Cricetulus griseus: one gene and its partner. The protein of the gene in region 1 interacts with the protein of each later gene in a pairwise test. Links are inferred from orthologs where the notes say so. Each region holds a gene or a part of one and is shown in the gene's direction. Other genes may lie near its edges. The genes, in order: Smad9 and Lemd3.

Region 1 (4,281 bases):
AATGACAGAGGAAGAGGGGTCAGAATTCTCATAACTAGGGCAGTTAAAAGAATCAGCCAGCATGAGCTTTCTTCCCCAGGGTCGGTGTTTGCTCTCTCTTGAACCCCACCAGGTTTTACTGTTTTATCTCCCTAACCTTTTTGGGAGTAACGTCCAGAAAAGGCAGAGTACACACACTTAGAGGCCTGCCCCACACCTACCCTCCAGAGAATTCTGTGGATTCACAGCCTCCGTGGCAGAAGCATGAACCAGCCTATCAAAGGTTTCTCACGGCTTTGTGCTCCCAGAGAAGGAGGAAACTGATTGGATCAGTTCTTTAATATCATTTCTGGGGAAGGGGTGGGTGGGTGTTGAGGCACAAGTTATCAATTCAGAGAACCTAATTAGTTTACTTGCCTCTAGGTGCACATGAAATTCTCTCATCCAGTCCATGACTTTCAGTGGTCCCCACACTGGACAGTATTTTTTCTGGGGTGTTTTTCTCTCCCAGGGCAATCTCACACCCAACACCTGGCCTGCAGCAGGGTATATGGACCAGCTGTAGAGAGATACTTCCAGTTTGAAGTTCAAGTATCATTTACACTTCTGCAATATATTTTAAGCAAAGCCTTCTTCAGCTACCCTTGGATGATGATGCAAAAGTGACATGTTCCAGAAAGTGGTGGTTTTAGGGTTAGGGGAAGAAGTCCAACCTAAGGGCTTTTGTTTACATTTCCAAGGTGCTTTGGCCTCTTGGGGGATGCTTACAGTGTGGAACTAACTGAGATGGCCAATGCCATTTTGAAAACCTCTGTCTTTTTGAAAACCTATAAGGTTTGGTGGGGGAATCAAAGGCTTTCAACACACAGGTGCCACTTCCCAAGTGACATTTTAAAGGCAGGCGACCTAGGGGGCAGCCAGGCAGCTGGGCAGGAAGGTTCTTTGTGCCCATGATGTATATCTTGAGTATTAGACAGTATGTATTATACACTGCGTAAGAAATCACAGTCCACAACATTACAGCACTAGTTTGAAACTCCACTGCCACTCAGCCAGATTTTCTTGGGCTGGTGCCAGGCAAGTTATGCCTCGGATACAGAGATAAGGAACAGCTAAGCTAGCCAGTAAGTGTGGCCTCAAGGGACCAGGACTGGAGCCACATATGGTTGGTGGTCCTGTCTGCCTCTGGGTGGGTGGGTGGGGGGGACTGGCCCCCTCTCTCCACTGCCTGAGGTCCAGGTGGGGAGGACACCTCGGGGGATGACCTGGAGATCCCGCTGGCCCTGAAAGCCATTTGCAGAGGCCATGCGCAGGACGAGCGGGTGCGCAGCTCTGCGGGCGGGGAGCGCGGCTCGGCCAGAGCGCACGGCCCCTCCTGGCTGGGGCTGCGCGCACGGCAGCCTGGCGCCCTTCCAGTGCGGCGCACTCACGCGGGCGGCCGAGGAGGAGGCTCCAGCCTGACTGACGCCTCTGGAGCCGCTGTCTCGGTCCCGCCGCCGCCCGCCCGGGCCCTGCAGCTACCGCGCAGCCCGAGAGCGCGGGGCACGCGTGGCACCACACGGACAGGTAAGCGCTGCCACGCCGCGAGCGTGGGCACCTGGGAGGCCTCTGAGGTTCTCTGGCATGGGGCTTGGCTCTCCCTGGAGCCTGGGTGGCGAGTGTAATGTGCGAGGTCTCCGCGGCAGCCTGGCACCTGGGACCCATCCCGGGGACGCGTGACCCGGGGTGTGGGCAAGGATGCAGGATGCGCGTGGACCAAGTGCAGAGGGATGCACACTGTCCTGCACCCAGGAGCAGGCGCTCTGAAACCCTGATTGGGGCAGTAGCCCTTTGCTGGGGAGTTGGGGACAGCAGAGGGGCGAGTGTGAGTGTGTGTAAGGTAGTCTGGGGGGAGATTTTAAAACTCCAGGGCGCCTTTGGCCATGAAGCTTTATTTCATACTCCTGTAATTTTTTCCTCTCTGCTTACCTTTGAGGCACACACAGTGAGAGAGGAAAAAAAAAAGTTAGGAATGTTAAGTGTCTGTAGCTAGCGCTTGGGTTGTGTTTGTCTTCTCCTGGGCCTACCATTGGGTGCCAGCTCTGCGCAGACGGGAGGGGGCGAGGTGGGGACAGATGCAGGCGACTGACTGACGCCGGCCTTGTGATGGGGAGGAGGAGCGTGGGGAGCCTTCTTATGGGTGGTTAATCGCCACACTCTTCTTACTCCTTCTCCTCCCTCTCTCTCTCGGCCGTGGCAATTGAAAATGATAGTTTTGAGGTCCTCCGCTGGGATATTTCTTGGCTAAAACTGGTAATTTTGAGAAATAACCTACAAATGATGTGGATCTCGTTTTGGAAGCAAATTGTATGTAATTCGGTTGAATGCATGCCATGGAACACTAGGAATTACTTTTAGTGGATCCAGTTCACAGTGACCGTGCGGCGGCTTGCTAGGTTCCTGTAAAAATTTAGCTATCAGGGAGAGCAGAGAATAACGGTAAGGTCGTTGGCCCTTTAAGGATGGCGCTTCCTAGGCAGTTCCTCAGGAATATTTGTGGTTGTGAAATGTGCTAGCCTGCCTGTCAATGCCCTCGGATGTTTACATGTAGAAACTATTCATTTATATTTAAAAGGCAAGTGAAAATACAGCTCAAGCACACTCTACAGCAAATGACCAGCATTCATAGCTCTGCTCCTAGGAAGGCGGGAACTCGATTTTGGATCACTTTCAAGTCTATGATTGGTAATCCAAGGACATCACAGATAAGAAACCGGTGTGGTGGTTTATAAACAAGGAACATTTAAAATGTGATAAGATGACCAATATTTCTGAAAATAGCTTCTAGTGGTAAGGCTTCTTGATGGCAAGTCAGCTTCCTGAAAGCTGGCCTTTGCTGGATCTGTCCTGATACTGCCAGCCCCCACTTTTATGCTTGAGCGGATGGCTTTGTCAGGGGTTCCCTCCCCGCCCTCCCCCCAGCCCCTCCAGTTTGGAACTCTGCTTAGGAGAATGCTGGCATAGTCTGGATGCAGCCAGCTCACTTACTAGTAGTATTTTCTAAAAAGCAAAGACAAATTAAGGTCTTAAGCAAATTAAGCACCTTAAACATGAGGCAGTTGGTGTTTTCTTTATCAAATATTTTCCTCTTATTTTACATATTCCATAGTTAATGAGAAAATTAGAAGATATTCACCAGTATCAGCTACTGCGTCTCTGATAACCTAAGATATAGGAAGAAAATGCTAAGCAATACAGGAGACTGCTGTATTGCTTAGCATTCCCACCCCGTTTTATAAGAAACTTCACCACAGACATAGAAGCACTGAATGGATGGTAAATTTGTGTATTCTTTCTGATCATGTGGTCAAATTGGAGGAGAAAAAAAACAAGAAATTGTTCTTTCACACAAATAAAACAATTTGAGATCAGTTTTACAAATAATTGAATGCTGATGAATGAGAGTGCAATGTTTGCTGCCAAGTTGAAGAGAGATGGTTACTGCATCATTAAGGCAGCCAATGATATCTGACCTTCCCTCTCCACTACAAGAAAACAATTTCATCATAGTCTGCTTTAATATCCAGGAGATGCTCCAGTGGTGGGAAGGTCAGGGTTCTGATCAATGAATGTTCTTGGTTTTTATTTTTTTGTAACATCTGACATTAAATCCTAACATCTGAACAAAACTTGGGGGAGACTCCTGTTTATTTTTGTGAGCACTTAGGAATTCAGAAATCGGGGTGTATGCAGAATATCCAGTAAATTGGGTGTATATTGAAAATACAAATCTCAAATTGTTATAATCCTTGACTTTGGGTTTTTATTCCCTTTATTACTGTTGCTAGTGAATTGGCAAGCTGTCCTAAATCAAGGGAGGCAGATGCTTACATCCTAATTTTGATGGTGTGAGTAGGCAGTGGTGTGCTATGTTAACTTGATGAATGTTTGTGTAGGAATAGGAACATAGCAAAAATAAACAAACATCCCCTGGCAATTAACTAGGCCTTAAAAGCAAACATTCCTGAAAATTATGTCTGTGCCAACTAAAACCATTTAAAGATAATGGCCAGCATTAGATGTCACCAGGGCTGTGAAAACTGTGTGCTCATCTTCATGCACACCGGTGCATGTTGAACCCCAGGTACCCTTGTCTGCACACTCAGGTGTCCTCTGCCAGGCTTATTTTCTCATGTGTCTCACTGCGGACACAAGAGTGCCTTACAGGTTTCCATGCACCCCCAGGCTTTCCTCTTCAATGCCTATTTCTTGAATTCAGGCCCAGGATACCTTCCCCTCTGTCCTTACCTCCCACCATATTTT
Region 2 (4,587 bases), about 39 Mb from region 1:
AAATCAGCAGAGTGGAGAACACATGTTGAACTAAGATGAAAACTGGAAAAAAGGACAGGGCCAATATCCAATTTTATGTAACACCCAGGTGAGCTACTTTGCTAGCCTGAGGTCCAGTAAGTTTGTGGGTCATCATAATCAGGATACAGGGTCAGACACTCTTGTAAGTGCTTAATAGTCATAGATTCAGGGACATTTGTGACATTTAAAGTCTCAGTGATAAAGAAAAAAGGGAAGTGGTTGTTCATATGAGAGCTTTCTTTTGAAGACAAGGTTTGCTGGAAATCAAAAATTGAGGTTAATATATATTTTTTTCTTTTCTGCTGGGGATACTGGGTATTGAAAAGCTAGCAGCTATGCTTTTAACTAACCTATTCCGAGTAGATGTTTTTATGTTATAGGGTAAAGCAACTCAAATAGAAACTATTGTAATGTTTCCTACATAGTGCTAGGATTGCCTACTAGCTTCTAGGACTTAAGGACTCAAAAAAAAAAATTATTAGCTCTGACAGGATTTGAGAAAAGAGGAAGCTTTCTTTGCCAAAATTGTCAAATTTCTTTCTCTGCTCTCAGATTCATTTTGCATTTTGTGAATAAGAAGGTAGAACTTCCAGCTATTATTTTCTTTGCGGAAAAGTTTATCGGCCTTACCAGATATCTTTCCCATGCTCCAAATTTTAATCTCATTCTATTACAGTTTGCAGCTCACCACCTCACTCAACAAATGTGTACTGTGTTGAAAACAATAGACACAAAGTTCTTCTGTACATGGAGCTTACAGCCAAAGGGGGCAAATAAATATTTCAAAATAAATAAAAATATTTATTATTGTTTGGGTAGGAGCCAGGAGAGCAGTAGAATCAGCTTGTCTTTCTTCTGCCAAAATGATTCAGATGGTAGGCTCTTTCATTCCTCCATGACTTTGTAAGGTCATCATCATACTTAGAAAACAAACAAACCCTAAAAAACAAAACAAAGAGAAAAAAAAAAACCAGAAAAGTTAATTACGTGCCCCATCGAAAGAGCAGCCATGATTTTTGAAAACTGTACTGTGAAGAACAAGCTCTTCCATTTCTTTCAAGAGAAGTCTCTGAAAAGCCATCGAGGAGAAAAAGTCATTAAAAAAAATTGCACGGAAAAGACAAAATGAAAAGGGAACAGACAGCAAAACCGCCAAGCCGGGATCCCTCTCCTCGACTCTCGGTGTCCTTGGCAGCAGGGATCCGAACAAGAAAAGTGTCGCCATGAACTTCAGGGCGGATGTCCTTCCCACGCCCGCTGCCCGGTGGCGGGACCCCGGGGAAGAGGTCAAGGTGTAGTTGCGACACTGGCTGCCAGTGGGATGGCATGTGGCAGCACGGGGCGCGGAGCGGCGACAGGGACAGCCGCAGCCACCGGGGGACACCTGGTTGGGGAGCATCCGCGCCGGCTCAGGTGGCGCTTTCCGGGGGACACGCCGGGGACCGCAGGTTGGGGAGCATCCACGCCATTCCGGGCGAGCAACTCGCCCGCCGGCTCGGCCGCCCGCCGCTCAGGTAGCGCTTTCCCGCTCAGGTGAGCTCCTCCCGCGTTTCCCATTGGCCCAGACGCCCGTGGCGCTGGGAGGGCGACGCAGGCAGCCCGGTCTAGTTCAGGGTCTAGGGCGGCGCGTCACTTCCGGTAGCGCGGAGCTTGTAAAACACCCTGGAGAGAAAATGGCGGCGGCGGCGGCGGCGGCGGCCTCGGCGCCCCAGCAGCTTTCGGACGAGGAGCTTTTCAGTCAGCTCCGCCGTTACGGCTTATCCCCGGGTCCGGTGACGGAGAGCACGCGGCCGGTGTACCTCAAGAAGCTGAAGAAGCTTCGCGAGGAGGAGCAGCAGCAACCGCAGACGCCGCAGCCGCCGCCGCAGCCGCACCGGGCGGGGGGCCGCGGCAGCAAGACGCGGAACAGTAATAACAATAACACGGCGGCGACGGCCGCCACAGTCGCGGCGGCGGGGTCGGCGGCGGCCTCGGGGATGGCGATGGCGGTCCGGCCCGGCTCGGGTGACCTCCCGTACTTACGGACCCCCGCGGGCCTGGGCCGCCTGGCGGCCTCGGTTCCCGAGAGCCCCCTGGGAGGATCCGGGGGCGCGGCGAGCGTCCCCTCGGCGGGCAGCAAAGTACTGCTGGGCTTCAGCTCCGACGAGTCGGACGTGGAGGCCAGCCCCCGGGAGCAGGCCGGCGGCGGCGGCGGCAGCGGCGGCGGCGGCGCGCGGAGGGACCGGGCTGCGCTCCAGTACCGCGGGCTCAAAGCGCCGCCGGCGCCCCTGGCCGCCGCCGAGGTGACTAACAGCGGCCACTCGGGCGAGCGCAGGAAGCCCCACTCGTGGTGGGCAGCGCGGCGGCCGGGGGCATTGGAAGCGCAGCCGCCGCCGCCGGCGCTGGCGCCGCCGGGCAGCGACGGAGCCGCCGAGGACGGGGACGAGGAGGTAGCGGACGGCGACGAGAGGGACCCCGAGGCCGAGGAGCCGCTGTGGGCGAGCCGAGCGGTGAACGGCAGCAGGCTCCTCCCGTACAGCTGTCGGGAGCACTACTCGGACTCGGAGGAGGAGGAGGAGGACGACGACGACGACGTGGCCTCCGGCAGACAGGTATCCAAGGACGACTCCTCGCTTGCCCGGCATCGGCCCAGACGGAGCCACCACAGTAAGCCCTTCTCGGCGCTGACTGCTAAATCTGGCGGCGGCCGGCTGGAGACTTCGGTTCAGGGAGGGGGAGGACTGACGATGAATGACAGGGCGGCGGCTGCCGGGAGTCTAGACTGGAGCCGAACCCTCGAGGAGGCGGCGGCCGAGCCGGGAGGAGGGTGCGAGCCAGTGGACTCCAGCCCGGTTCCTCGATACCGTGCTGGCGCCAAGAAGCTGGCCCCGCTCCTGGCCCCGCCGGTCCCTGACGTGGACTCAAGCTTGGAGTCGCCCACAGGTTCCCTTCTCAAAACCAATAATCACATAGGCGGGGGGGCCTTCGGTGTGGATCCCCCCGGTGTCTACTCCAACAGCCTCCCTCCCGGCGCGGCCGCCGCCTCCCCTGCCCCTCCATCACTCAGGATCAATCACGCCAACCATACTGGCTCCAATCACACCTACCTGAAAAATGCCTATGGCAAACCGAAGCTCTGCGAGCCTGAAGAGGAACTCCTCCAGCAGTTTAAACGGGAAGAGGTGTCCCCCACGGGGAGTTTCAGCGCTCACTACTTGTCCATGTTTCTCCTGACTGCTGCCTGCCTGTTTTTCCTGATACTGGGACTGACTTACCTAGGGATGAGAGGGACCGGAGTACCGGAGGATGGAGGACTCCGTAAGTATTAAGTAAACTCCGAGGGCCCAGGTTATCAGATGCAGACACGTTGCTTGCTGGTGATGACCATTACTTGCAAGAAATTTATTTGTTTTAACAGCGAAAGTGCCGCAGAATACATGCATCGGCTGTCTTTTGAGAAGGAACGGCGTACCATTACCAGAATGATACCTTAGGGCTGGTTTTTACATTTTTCTGCGTGGTGTGCTGGTAAATTCAGAACAACTTATCCAAGAGGAATGCTGTGCCAGTAAAAAGGCCCTTGAGTGTCCTAATGTCTTTTAGTTTTAAATAACTGCAGATGTCATCGGCTCGATGAGGTTGGAAGTAGTGCCACACATGCCATGTTTTCTTTTTTTAAATGTGTTATGATCGAAGACGACAGTGTACACACAATATAAGTAGTTCTCTAATTTCTATAAAGAGAACAGGTGTTGAGGAGGCAGCAGGACACACCTCTTCATTCACTTCTCAGTCTAGAGCACCTCCCCTTCCACCCGTGGAGAAAGTCGTGGTAACTTAGCACATGGAACTTGGGGGCAGATATCCTTGGTAAATGACTGTAAATAGGCAGGTGTGTTCGTTCATTCATTCAAACAGGGCCTTCCTCAGTACTGAGTATTGAGCAATGAAGACACAACAGTAATAGATCAAATCATTCAGGAGGATGACCACTATGTGTTCTGTGAGGAAATAAGGATAAAGTAACTGGTGTGGGCTGGTTTAGATTGCATGGTCAGAGGGTACTGTTTAAGGTAGACCTAAAAGTAAAGCTGGACAAAACAAAACAAAACAAAATAGTCTTGTAGAGCGGCTGCAGGACATTCTGGGCAGGGATCACAAGAAGCAGAAAGGACCTGAATGGGGTGAGAGATTTGCTGTAGTTACTGTGGCTGGAACTTCCCTTTGCTAATCGAGAAGACCATGCTAATATTGACTAGGATGAGGTTTATTAGGATTGGACGTAAATTAGTGTATAATGGACTGCTATGTTTCTTCCCATTTCCCTTGAAGTTTTCCTCCTAATATGAATTTGCAATATCATGGTTTGTATATATAAAGCTGGCTTACTATATATTTTATGCTACAATACTAAGATGGGTGCAGTTAGCAGAGCAAGTAGTGTGAGCATCGATTTCAGTATAACCAAGTCCAAGGAATGAATACATAAATGACCACAATATTGTTGAATTACAGGCTTGCAGGAGCAGTCCTTGCTTCAGTTGGCTTTCTGGGAGCAAGAGTGTTGTGCTGTGTCCTGTCTTAAAT

The links.
Region 2: the proteins of Smad9 (region 1) and Lemd3 interact in binary tests that used the Homo sapiens proteins (3 or more experiments, as listed by UniProt). The link is inferred for Cricetulus griseus from reciprocal best matches to the Homo sapiens genes SMAD9 and LEMD3.

The regions. Positions count from the first base shown.
Region 1 is NW_023276806.1:96,416,743-96,421,023, reverse strand, and holds the start of Smad9 (mothers against decapentaplegic homolog 9), read left to right. Parts: upstream 1-1,349; 5' UTR 1,350-1,545; intron 1,546-4,281. UniProt on the Homo sapiens protein: Transcriptional modulator activated by BMP (bone morphogenetic proteins) type 1 receptor kinase. SMAD9 is a receptor-regulated SMAD (R-SMAD).
Region 2 is NW_023276806.1:135,840,923-135,845,509, forward strand, and holds the start of Lemd3 (inner nuclear membrane protein Man1), read left to right. Parts: upstream 1-1,655; 5' UTR 1,656-1,694; coding exon 1,695-3,318; intron 3,319-4,587.